Linked DNA regions of Alligator mississippiensis. The protein of the gene in region 1 binds, or shares a complex with, the protein of each later gene. Links are inferred from orthologs where the notes say so. Each region holds a gene or a part of one and is shown in the gene's direction. Other genes may lie near its edges.

The links. The genes of interacting proteins can lie anywhere in the genome.
Region 2: the proteins of meprin A subunit alpha (region 1) and FETUB are in contact, whole or in part, in a cryo-EM structure (PDB 7UAI), measured with the Homo sapiens proteins. The link is inferred for Alligator mississippiensis from reciprocal best matches to the Homo sapiens genes MEP1A and FETUB. Residues at the interface, in NP_005579.2 of Homo sapiens: Asp126, Gly127, Cys128, Trp129, Ser130, Glu131, Val132, Gln145, Gly146, Cys147, Tyr149, Ile152, His155, Glu156, His159, Tyr164, His165, Gln167, Ser168, Leu184, Gly186, Tyr187, His189, Asn190, Asp192, Tyr194, Tyr214, Gln215, Phe217, Ser218; in NP_001362516.1 of Homo sapiens: Phe109, Phe110, Lys144, Lys145, Tyr148, Met149, Thr150, Cys151, Pro152, Asp153, Cys154, Pro155, Ser156, Ser157, Ile158, Ser196, Ser197, Gln198, Trp199, Val200, Val201, Gly202, Tyr205, Phe206, Thr242, His245, Trp246, Phe249, Val250, Ser251.

What each region holds. Positions count from the first base shown.
Region 1 is NC_081824.1:13,690,403-13,697,121, forward strand, and holds the start of meprin A subunit alpha, read left to right. Parts: upstream 1-2,970; 5' UTR 2,971-3,008; coding exon 3,009-3,077; intron 3,078-3,165; coding exon 3,166-3,190; intron 3,191-3,333; coding exon 3,334-3,387; intron 3,388-4,976; coding exon 4,977-5,017; intron 5,018-5,136; coding exon 5,137-5,212; intron 5,213-5,552; coding exon 5,553-5,670; intron 5,671-6,719.
Region 2 is NC_081830.1:82,926,986-82,933,704, reverse strand, and holds the start of FETUB (fetuin-B), read left to right. Parts: upstream 1-2,344; 5' UTR 2,345-2,449; coding exon 2,450-2,671; intron 2,672-6,719. UniProt on the Homo sapiens protein: Protease inhibitor required for egg fertilization.

The sequences.
Region 1 (6,719 bases):
TTTCACCAAAAACTCTATACAAAATGCAGTATCCAACTGATGTACTATGATGTGGCTCTATAAACATTATACTTTATTATCCCAAATACATCGATAGATATGTTAAGAATACTAAATATCATCTATAGTCTTGTGTTGCTTCTCAGTGTAGGAGATTTAGCGGTCAGGTTTTTTCAGATTGCTTTATATTGTGTTGCTGCAGATATTTGTTCCTTTTCCACATGCATTTATGTTATGGATGCTACACACCTGTGGATCCTCTGTTATTGATTCACTATTTCATTTGCCTGTGCCCAGCTGCACTCACCCTCAGCATAGCCCTTGAAATTCCTTCTAACCCTTTGCTTCTAGAGGGTGAACCCTTGAAATGTTTCTTTATGCTAAGAAGCCATGGAGCATCCTTACTGACAATGGCACTTCTGCTAAAGAGATTTGTGGTTTTCCATATATATAGGCTTCAAAACAGGCCAACACAGTATTAGGTATTAGTATTAGTATACTGGGGAGGTGGAGAGGGGGACGACACAGACCTCTCCTCGTACTAACAAGTATATCTAGCTAGCTAGCTAGCTAGTTACCTTGCTAGCTATATTTCCTTATGCCCCTTTGTCCTTGGTTCATCTTGAGTTTTTGGAGAGTCCTTCTCAGCTTGTCAGAGTAACTTTTGTCTTACAGCTGGAGTAATCATAAGGCCACATTAGTTTCAGATATAAAAAGTTGTCTTGTTTAACATTTTGAATTTGGGGTAGAGCCTGGACCCTCATGCTGATCTGTGTGGCTCCTCCTCAACTCTTTGGGAGGTAATGTTTGAGGTATCATGTGATCTCTTAGAAGACCCCACTCCTCCTCCTCCTCCTCCTCCTCCTTTGGTACTCTTCATTCACAGAGGTGGTCTGCTGGACAGAAAGCCATTTTCCTGGAAAACATTGGAAGATATCTTCTCTCATTCAATCCTTTATGGATCTCCTTTGGTTGAGCATGGGGGAGAAGTTGGCTGGAGTCTACATTTCTACAGCCCCAGGGTAGAAGGGAAAGGGAGAAGGGCAACAAAATTGAGGAAAGGAATCAACTTCCAGTTTTACTGCTCTGCAGAAGCTCATACAGCGCCCAAAGCCAAGCAAATATTGGGGTAAGCTGTCTGAGCTGGAAATGGCTTCTTTGTTGGTAAAACCCTCAGTGCTGTTTTTCCTTAGCATTTAGAGTTGCTTATATTTTTTTCCAATTACTTACATTACTTACCTGTTGGTTAGTGTCAGACAGAGGTAGGAGAAGGCACCTTGTCTACATTCCTACATTTTGTCGTAGGAACAATTTGAATTAAACTAAATCCTTGCCCTGTCCAGTGTAGACTTGCAGCTCTCCAAATGTGTGACTTCTTCAGAGAATGCTCTCTAGTGATACTAAGCTAAATATTTCAGTTTTCACCAGCCTGGGCTAATAAGGTGTTACACTTCAGTTCTGCTAAAAAAGTAGCCAGAAAAAAAAGTGACCCATACGGCTGTATAGAGGAACCACTCAAAAAAAAATTTTAAATAGCTTTAATTAGCTTTCAGTAAAAATGGAACTTTTTAAACAGCTATGTACACACATAGTATTTTCTGAGCTCTTAAATACTATGTGTAACCAGTGTAAAAGGAACTTCATAGAATCCTGCAACCCCTTTCATTTATCCAAGGCTATATCAACATATTTCCAATGACTTCAATAGAATTAGGCTTGATTTTCACCAGTACAAGTCAGGTCCATTTATTCAAGTTCACTCTCACTCAGAAATTGAGCCTGGAAATGTTCCACTCAAAAAGTGAAAGTTTTAGGACGTTCAGAGAAACTGGGGAAAAAAAAAAGGTTTGATAATGGGAGCATTTAGGCAACCTGTATGGCTATCCCAAACCATTTGGCTCTAAGACAATCAGCAAATGTAGAACAAAGGTTAACAAGCTAAAAGAAGAAAAAACATACAGTTAGGGAGGCTAACCATTTCATACCAAGGGCAAGCTAGGAGGTGCTAACATAAATGTTTTGCATAGCTTGTATGCAGACTGTCTGACAGCAAGGCTGTTAAAGGCATACTATATTCTGCTGCGGTAAGTCCCACTGGGGGAGATAGAAGAGATTACAGCAGATGCTTCTAACCTACAGCATGTACCCACTGACCCAAATCCCTGCACAGCGAGGGTGTCATTGGCCATACTTGATAGTGCCATACATAGAAAGAGGTTGGCACAGATGGGACAGATTTTCATAGGGAGACTTCTCAGGCTGTCACTTGAGCATGATGCAGAGACTTGCCACTGCTCTCTCCCAACATGCAAAGCCCCACTTCCTACTGACACCCTTGGAGAAAATAAAAAATAGGATGAACACCAATGAAAGTCATTAAACTGTGATACGGTGTCCCGAGGGAATTGGTGGAAGCCCCCAACAATACAGTCATTAACCTCTAGAATGGACACAGCTTTGGAAAAAATCCCTAAAATTGGACCTGAGGTCATTGGCGATCAGTTTTTTTTTTTCTTCTCTAGCTTCTGTAATTTGGTGTTAATTATTAATTGAAAACAATTTAAAGACTAATTCTGTCACTCCCCAGGGATGTAAATCTGCTCAGGCAGCTGGAGTTAATTTAGGTTTATGGCATTGTAACTAAGAGCAAAATCTGACCCAGAGTATTGACAGACAGCAAACGCGACAGAGAGAATCAACAATAGAGATAAGTCCCTTGATTTAACTCTGGGCAGAATTCAGGACTGCTTACTGTTCCAGCTTTTCATCATTTGGATTGAAAGTTATCAGGGTTCCCAGTTAAATGTTTGGTTTTTTTTACATGGACTTAGGCAAATTATGATATTGCCACAAGCAATGTTTTTTTAAAAAAAGGTTCCTGTTTAATAACTCTCAGAGTAAAAATAAGGAGTTCAAAGTTTCTTGCTAGATACTCTGGGCAAAGTTCAGAGAACGGCCTTATAAATTCTAAGAGATTACGGGGTCTGTTTTCTTCTTCCACGGCAAGAATGGCCTCCACTTGCATCTTCTCCTGCCTGTGTCTGACACTCTTTTTCAGCCATTGCACTCCTTTCTCCGTAAGTATTACGCCCTACTTTTCCAGCTCCCCCTCTCCCTCTTTGGGCTCTCTGCACTTCATGCAATGCATATTTTGCTCTCTTTCAGGTTCAACAGCACCCAAGGGAAGATGGTAAGGGCTGCTTAAACTATTGCATGTTCCAGCACATTTTCTGTTATTTTCTGGGAATGAGGGAGAAGGGTGGTGGTGGTTGGGGCACCACGCCTGTCCTGTTGGTTACAAAAAGTTTTCCTTTTCATATATTTTTCTTGCAGCCTTTGATGCTGATGCTGGTGAACTAAGGAAAGATATTCCAGAAATAAATTTAGGTAGGTAGTTTTTCTCATCCCCTTTCAATCTCTGTGAGAACACTGTAAGCTGGTGGGTGTTTTCAAATATTAGGAGTAGAAAATTTAGAAGTAGAAGCTGTATTTATTTATTTTATTCCAGGAAGAGTAGACAGTGATATCAAGGAAAATAAGTAGAGGTGATGCAGGCAGTGTCTGAGTGAGATTCTGCATTATTAGTAGCTTGGTCAATACTCTTGAATCTCACCTTGCAACATGCCTGCTTTCCAAGCCATTGCTTTCTCCTAGGTGAAAACTGCAGGTTGTTTTGAAATGGGTAGTAATTTTATGACACGAGTGAATATTCACTAGGGCAGCATAAGGGCTTCTGAAGATTTGGTGCTAGTGGGACCAACCCACAGCTGTTGTGAATCCACAATGAAGTAAATCGTATTTTACTAGCTGAGGATATGGCTCATAGTGAGGTACCCTGATGTACCCATTACAAATGGTTTTGCAAGCTAGCAATCATTTTTTTCCTGCTCTGTCAACGGCTTCTATAGAGAAGGAAATAATTTAGTGTTTTGCCATATATCTGAAGGCTTAGTATGGAAATGATGTGGAAGGATACCAATAAAATGCGCCCTCATCTCATCTTTTTGTTTCTTGTAATCCAACTTTGCGTACATTCATGCACACGTGCATACATTGGCAGACAAGGTTCTTTGGGTAAATCCGATATCTTTTATTAGACCAACTAAAAGAGTTGGAAAAATTCTTCTTTGCAAGCTTTTGGGTACAAACACCCTTCGCCAGGCTGAGGAAGTGCATACATATATTTTATATAGCTATATATATCTAATATTCATTATATTGTTAGGTTGCTTGTTCTAAGGGTGAGTGGAATAGAAAAGAATAGAATAGAATAGAATAGAGATAGATATGTATCCATTCATTCCATTCATCTTTAGAACTATCAGCTTAAGAACCCAGAGGATTTTCAATCTTGTGAAGCTTTAAGGGCCCCCGGGCTACACGGATGCCTCTGCTAGTGCACCACATGCCTGCATAGTCCTCTGCACTGTACCATGCAGGGCCCCCCTTCCGCCAATGCACCATACACCCACATAGGACCTCCTCCGAAATGCAGAACCAAGGGCCTGTGTGGCCCTGAACTCCCGTTCTGCTCCCACCCCATGTGTCACACTGTGAGGGGCAGGGGACAGAGGTGGGAGGCAGCAGTTGGAATAGGACGAAGGAGCCTGGAGCCCTTGGCTGCTGTTGTTGCAGCTGGAGCAATAGAGGGAGCAGTGGCCAAGCAGGAGCTTTGTGGCTGCAGATTAACCCCTTTTAGTCTGCCAGTTGAATAGGTGCGATCTATAGTTTGGCAAATGCAGTACAGCATGGAAAATGATGGAGCACCAACCTACAATAGTGTGCTTTTTAGCAATGCAGCGATACAGGTAGTGGAATCTGCTATTTGTTTGCTTGGAAACAGAAACCGATCCTAATAATAATCTGAAAATGTCCTTTGAGGTCTTGAAATCAACTTCTGCACCTCTAGCATTTTCTGTAATCTAAAACACCACGTTTAAGATTTTTAAATCATCTTTTTCTGAATTGTTTTTCAGCTGCTGGACTGGACCTCTTCCAGGGGGATATCTTACTGCCTGCAAGTATTTTCAGTTAGATGGGTATCATTTATCCTACTGATATTCATCTTATAAAACCCATTTTGCTCTCCCAAGGAATGCATTACTGGCTATTAACCTTCCTCTCTCTTTTTAACAGAATGAACGTAATGCCCTGAGAAATGAGAGCTATCGATGGAAGTTCCCCATTCCCTACATTCTGGCTGATGACCTGAGTAATGCAGACTGTGCTTTGTTTTTGAGATTTTGGGATGAAATCCTGGCCCAACTGGAGGCATCATGACACTAGAGTTTGACCCAATGGCAAACAATAGGAGATTAGACTTTTAAAAATATGCTAATAAACACTTGCAACCTGTATGCCAAAACCCATTTCCCCAGCCATGACAGATATAAAACTTGTCATTTTAAGCTTTGATCCTTTTTGGAGGTATATCATAATGCATGCACCGTATATAATATATGTCCACAGAGATATAGAGATCTAGACCATGTGTATTACTGATCTGTCACCTACTACGTATTAAAGGTATGTTGTTGAAATATATTTTCCAGACCTAAATGCCAAAGGAGTCATTCTTGAAGCTTTTGAAATGTTTCGCCTAAAGTCTTGTGTGGATTTCAAACCGTACAAAGGAGAGAGAACCTACATACTCTTCCAGCAAGGCAGTGGGTAAGTGTTATGTCAAAGTCCCAGATTCCTGTTTAACTTTTATTACATGACTTTGCTTCACCATTGTCATAGTAGGTGGTATGATTCTTCTGGAGCCCTACCGACCTTAACTTCTTTGCAGGCCTTTTTAGAGGCAGAGTTTGGGCTTTGCAATCTTTGGGAGAAAAGAAGTGATGAAAGTTCAAGATAATGAAGTATCATTATTATATCCGGTGTATAAATTGTCTTCTGATCACAGGGCATGATGGAGGCAGCTAGAAAGAACTGAGGTTCTTATTCACTCTTACCAGTTATGTATATAGCAGCATTCCCTAGCCCCGCCATTCCCTGCTCTGCCCACCTACTGCGGCACTTCAAACCTGGAAGTATGCCAATGAAGATGCTTCACCGAGCATCCCTCTAGCGCGCTCAAGACATCCGTATCTGGGGCTGTGTGTAGACAAAAAAAGAGGTGTGTGTGCATGACGCTTTAAAGCAGGCTCAATGCTTTTGTACCGCTTTAATAGTGTCAGTGTTTGCACACCTGGGCAGCATATTGCGCAGTAATTCCAGCCATTGAAGGAAATTTGGTGGTGTAATGTGCCTTAAAAGACTTGGGGTGCAGCAAACTAAAACTCCTTTAGGACTTTTAGTTTGCTGCCCCTACAGCCGTGGAGCGAAGCACCAGGCTCCGTGCAACTCAGGGGCTCTGCAGGAAGCCCGTGCAGGCAGCAGCCTGGCAGCAGCCTGGAGGCAGGAAAAATGGTGAGCCTGATCTCCCCCAACCCCTGGAGCCTTCCTGCCTGTCTGAGCTGCGCAGGGGCCCGGTGCTTCCCTCCATGGCTGTGGTGCCCCTGGGACCACCCAAGCCAGGTGCCAGCGGGCAGGTGCCAGCGGGGGGGGGGGGGGGGGGTGCTGCTGCTGCCACTGCCACGGAGGGAAGCACCAACCCCCACCCCACAGCCCAGGGACCGCTCCACTCGCTGGCAGCTCACCCTCCCCTCCCCGCCAGGGAGGCAGGTAAATCAGCGGTGTGTGTGCATGACATGTGGGTTTAATCAGCCCTAAAT
Region 2 (6,719 bases), on another chromosome or scaffold:
AGATTTGCAACCCCCCTTCCAATATTCTCCCTCCCAAACGTCCTGGATGGAAGTGGCCCAGCCTCTGGACAGCTGTGCTTGACTGACTGACTTAAGGAAACTCTCTGTGGGCCAGACTGCTCTGGCCCATTGCAGGGAGCAGGATGGAGATGTAAGGGAGCTCACTGCATGGAGCTGCCTCGCATTGCAGAGTCATCCAGCACATGTGAGCAATGGAGCCAAGGCTCTGCGTGCTCCCCATGTCCTTCACAGTGAAGCATTGTCGGGGGATCTCCGTAGCAGTCACCATGCTCTCTCAAGCCACTGGGGTGATGTGTGGGTCTGCTCCTTCCACCCTCCTTCCCTTAATCGTGTGGCTGCCTCTGGGTCAGCCCCCAACTCGGGGCTCTTTCAAAAGGATATTGCTCTAGAAAGGATCTCCCTGGCCTCTTGCTGTTTCCATTTTGCAACTGGCCTGCGGGTTAATAGGTGAGTAGTGAGTGACTTCTTGGTTGACAGAAAAACCTCAAAAAGTCAGCAGAGGGCTGTGCAAGTCACGTCAAGATTTTATTTAAATGCTCTAGCTGCTGAAAAGGAAAGATGCCAGAGCACCACTCAGCGCTGCTACTTAAGACTAAAATAGCAGCACTGCAGGAACCATCTGCGCTAGCCCCCAGCCTGTATCCATATATGCCACTGCCGTGATATTCCTGTTACACCCGCGACAAGGCTGAGACAGGCTGTGTCAGCACTTAGAGGAGTCAGTCTGAGGGGCACATTCAGTAGGTGTCCCTGCTGCCTCTGAGTGACTGTCCCGGTACTGAGGTAGGAGGTCAATAAAACTGCCTTGGAATGAGATGGAAAATTGAGGGGGGGTACCAGGATGCCAGATTTAGACATGGTGAAAGGAGCTGTGGCTCTGAAAGGAGCCCCTGGATTAAATGCAGGAATAATGCAAATGGTCGTATGAACCAGTGAAAAAGTGGGTTAATGTGCACAAGCAGCATTTCCAGCATCAAAGTGGCATTAAGAAGTGCGCGAGAAAGACAAGTGTCGAAGGGGTGCGAGGTAGAATAAGCACCAAGTCACTGACTGTAGGCTGCGAGATGAAAAGCTCTTCCCTTCATTCAGCTTTACACTGTCCTGTGAGTAGCTTTCTCTGCCAGGCTCTTCCCATCCAAGCTTTGGAACAAGGGTAATACTTATCAGGGCAGGTTACACCCCCTTGCTCTTACACTCTCTTTCTGGGCTGCTCCCCCATCCTCACTGGGTTTGGCCAAAGTTAATGAAAGTTTTCGTTACTATAAGTCTTGTCTTGATAATATGTAAGTGGCAGAATGCCCCAAGAGGACGTTTGCAGGTGTCTGTCCAAGCAGCTAGGATAGGAGTGGGGAGTGGGGAGGTGACGGGGGGACTTGAGCAGCCTTCACTGCCCATAGAGGGCCAAGGGCTTGTGTTGGCTCCTGGGGGAAATGGGGGTGTCTGCAGGACAGCTCACCTGGGACTGCCACATGAAGTGAGAGGAAAGTCAAATAAAGAAAGAGGGGTGGGAAAAGCAGGAGGCTTTCAGGTTGATGAGAGGTGGCTGGAGGGAAACAGAGCACACAGGGGGACAGTACATAGGTGTGGAAGGATGATAAGAAGGATGTTAGTGGGCTGGTAGCTTTGTACACACTGAGGAAGATGTTACATAATCTGATGTGTAACCACACAACCTGCCCCACTCATCTTCCTATCTCCTCCCACCTATTGCAGCAGCTCACTTTGCATCAGATCTCTCCATGGCATTCAAGCCCTTTGGGGCAGAGACAGTGCCTATACATCTGGGAAGCACTTCTGGATCACTACAATAAGCACGTATGGCATCTGGATCACTACGATGAGTTATAATGAAACTAGTGGAGAGTTCTGCTTGAAAAACACGTTATGAATCCTGGGTCTCCTTGGACATGGCTTTTTTTTCCTATGTCAACTTTTAGGATGAATCCAAATCAAAGTCTCTCTCTCAAAGCCCGGCAGCTGGATATATATATCCCAGGGAGGCTGAGCACTGTCATTAATGCACATTTAATTTAACAAGAGAAGTGCAAAATCAGTTACCAAGATGGTGGGCCCGGTCCCATTCCTGGTAGAACCGGCAAGAATTTTGTCACTGACTATACAAATCACTGAGGTGAACTGTCCGAGGTGAACCTGCCTGATGAATTCCACGTAAGAGAGATCCAGCTAAGAACACAATCTAGTCTATAAACAGCCACCTGACTTATGTACAATCTTCTAATCATTGACTTAGTGTTTGCAGTTGCTCTGTCTGCAGTTGAAAGGTGATGGTCAGTAGGCTGTATAAATGGGACACTATGGGTATAAAACGTCCTGAATCCATTTCAATAGTCTGTTCTTGTGGGCTAGCCTTGGCTTCCTTGTCCTGACTTCCAAGTGCAATCCCTTGCAGCAACTGTTTTCATGCAGAATGGCCCTGCTTATTTTGCTTTTCCTTGGCATACAGGCACTGTGCTCCCAGGCTTTCTCTACTCCTGTGAAGGAACTGCAAAGTCCTTTCCTCTTCCCTGCATGCAATGACTCAGCAGTGGAGTCAGCGGTAGATGTGGCTCTGGGCCAAATCAATACTGGACGAACCGAGGGCTACGTGCTTAGGCTGAATCGAATTTTCAGCGTCCTGGAACACCCCCAGGTAAGCAACCCTTTTGTGCTCTGGGTGTTTTGCAGGTGGAGGGAATTGCTGCCCTGTGTCTGAACATTTTCCTCAGTTCATATATTCATAGAAGTTAGGGGCTGGAAGGGATCTCATGAGATCATCAGGTCCAGCCCTCCTGCTCTTAGACAGGAAAGAAAGGACTGCTGGGGTCAGATGAGCCCAATGTAAAAGGTTAAAGGTTTATGGGGTTCAGGCTTGCACACAAACCTGAAGAAACAGCTTCATGAGCTACTTGAGCACCTGGGAGTGGAGCATCAGGGTTGATTCTCTGCTGCAATGAACCTTGTGCACTTCTGTGCAAAGTGGGGGTAAAACCCCACCACTCCAAGTTCAATACAATCTTGAAACCCACCTGGCCCAGGGGTAAATGAATATACCAGATGCAAGACAACAGTGAACTGGGTTCAGGGAATCGCTGCAACTGGGCACTTAGGAAAGACTGAATCATCAAAACAGCTTAGAAACCATCTCACGTGCAAACACCACGTTGGATTTCTTTTTTAAAAATATAACGGCCTCGCTCTCTTTTTGTGAAAGTTTGCATGGCAGTAGCATCCTGGAGCCCCAGCCAGAATCTCTGTGATGCCAGCCTATAATGTGTATAATGGTCTAAGGTGCTAAGCATTATACAAACATGTCATTAGCATTCCCTGATGCAGCTGTTCACTAACATAAGCTTCTCTCTGTGTTCGTTTGCATTGTTTTAAGGCAAACAGCCTGTGGCATCAGAGAAGCTCAGGCGCAGTGCTGAATATTTACAGGTTTCCCACATGTGTTAGGATTTGTCACCATTTCTCCTAACTAGGGCCCAGCTTCTCTAACAATCTGCACAGGAAGGTGCTGTGGCTAGATTTACCCTCAGTAATCAGAACCCTTGACAATAAATATGCATGCATGTTCCAGCATGCTTAAGGCCAAATTCACTACTCCTCCACATCCCCACACAGCGTAGGTGGGACAAAAATGCCTAGGAAGTAACTGGATCAAGCCTGCTGAGACTTTCTCTGCTGGAGGCACTCTCAGCTGCCACAGAAACAGCAGAACCCAGTCCTGCACTATCTGCTGAACTGGCCTCATCATCAGGGGCATATCAAAGCTGTTGATGGGTAGGCTGTGGGTGTAGCTACAGCATAGTGTGCCCTCGCAATCACCAACTGGACATGACCCATTAGGGCCTACTACTCTTGGCATAAATTAGAGCAGTGTGGGCAACCTTTTCAGCAGGCATGTCACAAATTAGCCTCGTGCTATCTCCGTGTGCCACTCTGATCCCAATCTCCTGCTCTCCTTTCTACTCCCTGCCTTGTATGCCTAGCCTGATCTGCTGCTCTGCTCTCTGTCCTGTCTGCTGCTGGGCTGCCTGTCCCCTCCCTGATCTGCCACATGCCACGCACAGAGGCTGCCTGTGCCACTTGTGGCATGTATGGCATAGGCTGGCCACCCCTGAATTAGAGCAACCCTGGGCTACTCTAACCCATATCAGAACTTGTGCGGATGGCCCAGGAGGTACTTGCTCATTGGTGGGTCCTTCTTGCTTCACCTGTGCCAAACACTGCAGTACAAAATGGTCATAGAATAAGAACTCCTGGATACACACAGAGTCCAGGAAGTCTGTTATCCCATGAGATGCTGCATGAGGTCAAGGACTTCCAGGTGGTGGAATAGGAGCAGGCCAACCACAAAGGCAGCAGTAAACTATCACCTCTGTACAATAAATACTTGTACACAGGTTTCTGTAAATAATAACAGGTTGTTTCCAAATCACAAGCCTCCAGATTCTACACAAGAGACAATGTGGAGCTCAATTTTACATATGGTCCTTCACTTGCATCCCTTGATATTTCCCGTATTTCCTTTAAGGCACAGCTTGTGTCTTGCTTTGTTTGGTTATTTTCTATTTTGACTTACTCTTATTTCCCTTTGTTTACAAAAGATACCAAAGGAGGTGCCCCCAACACAACCTGGAATAGCAGAACAGATCAGCTGAACCTTCTGTCACACGGGTGCTGCTGTGGGAATGGAATATATAATGCGTATTTGAATAGGCCATGAATATTCAAACATGCTAATAGAGCCCTTGGAAGCCTTTGTTCCTCAAAAAGATTCAAGGAATTGACTTTTTGCTGTCAGTCAGTAGAAAAAATATATTCTCTCTCCTCTTCCCCCACCTCATTTTCTCAACCAATAGCTAGGATGACAACTTTTCCAAAACGACTTCTACCCTAAGCAAACTGTGGCTCAATATTGCTGTAATTGAAGTCAATGAGAGTTTAGTCCCTGACACAAGGATGCTTTCAGTCAGAGGAAATGCTGAACAAGGCACCTCAATGATAGGCTTTTCACTAGCTTTCACCTTGTCGTTAGCTTTGGAGATGTATTTCCCTTTTCTTTGCAGCATGTCCCCCTGCCTACTTCAAGGTGTGTACAGAAGTTACACTTTTTTGTGTAATGAAGCCACCAAAAGTGCTCTGAAGCTATAACATAAATGTTCAGGGCTGCAGAACTCTTTAAAAATGGCAGATTGCATGAAAAGTGAACCCTCATCTAATGTAGTATTAGATGAAGGGGCTCTAGGGCAGAGCACCCTACCGAACTTATGTACAGGTTTGCATTGAAGGTTAATTTGGGGCCATTTTGCCCACATCCCAGGGCCTTTGAGGGGCTGTCACAGGGAGGAGACAGAAAAAGCTCTGTCTCCTCCCTGTGCAGCTGGGCGAGACGGGAGGGAGCCCTGCTAGTGCACATGGACCCTCCTCACCTTCCCCCCCTCTCCCCCCCACCAGCTACCCCTGCTGGGGCCTTATGGGCCAAGCCTGCAAGGTGGGGGCTGTGTCTCCGCCCCACCCCCTGCCCCAGCTCTAAGCATGGCAGTGAGGAGGCTGCCACTGTCAAGTGGCTTATCCAGGGGAAGGGCGGGGAAAGGAGCTTCCCCTGGCACATGGGCCCAAGCCAACCCCTCCCAAGACCCCAGCAGGGGTAGTTTGGGGGGTTGCATGGTGAGGGATCCATCCTCCGCCCCCCAACCATTGCTGATAGTTGTTGCCAGCTGGCAGGGGGTGGTGGGGCTGGTAGCCTCCTGGGAGGCTGCTGGAGTGCCTCTGTCCACTTGCCAGGTCTGCTGTAGACAGGTTGCAAGCCCTCACCTGCCCCGCAATGACACTCTATCCATGGCACTTTTGTGTAAAGCACCATAGTCAGAGTGCCTCCCCAACGGGCTGCCTAAACGTCTGCACGCACACCAAGTTGCCCCCTGTGGTTACTAAAACCCTCCTGGTTCCAGGACTCTTCAGCAAACACTGGGCTTGGGGCTTTGATGTCAGCAGCATCAAAGCGAGGGGCCCAGAGCCTCTTCAGAAAACAGGCATCAGGTGTTACTCAATGCTGAGCAGATACCAAAGGCTCTTCCTAATAGTCTTGTAAGAGTGTAAATAAGAATGGTATCCTCTGAGATCTGCTCAGCACGAAATCTTGAGCTATCATTTCCCCAGTGGAGGCCAATGGCTCTGAAAGTGAATAAAAAAAGCTGACACAGGTTGTACCATATACTCAGACCCTGTCTATGTATAAGAGCTGGTCTGACACTGGAGGCCTGGAAGAGGGAAATACAAGGACTTTGGTTCAGTTTGATTCTCTTTAATCCTTCTAATATTGCCAAATTCCCCAATGCTTTAAAACCAATCTTCTTGGTTCAGCTGAGTATACACAATTAACAACTAACATAGGCTGATCACAAATACATCTGTTCGATGTACAATTTAAATGCTCTACATTCAGAATGCTTAGGTGACCACTACAGAAGCTCAAGTAACAAATACCAACTTCAGTCTTTGTAAATGTGCAGGTCTTTGGCCATTAATCAGAGAGAAAGCAGGGAACGTTTATACCTTGAAGACCACGTGATTGTCAACTAGGGTGCTGCAAGCACTCTAGGGTGCTGTGCAATTCTTTCAAAGGTGCCACAGGGTGCCATGTAATGTTAGCACTGATAGATACATCAGATAAAGATAAAGGTAAATCACAAGAT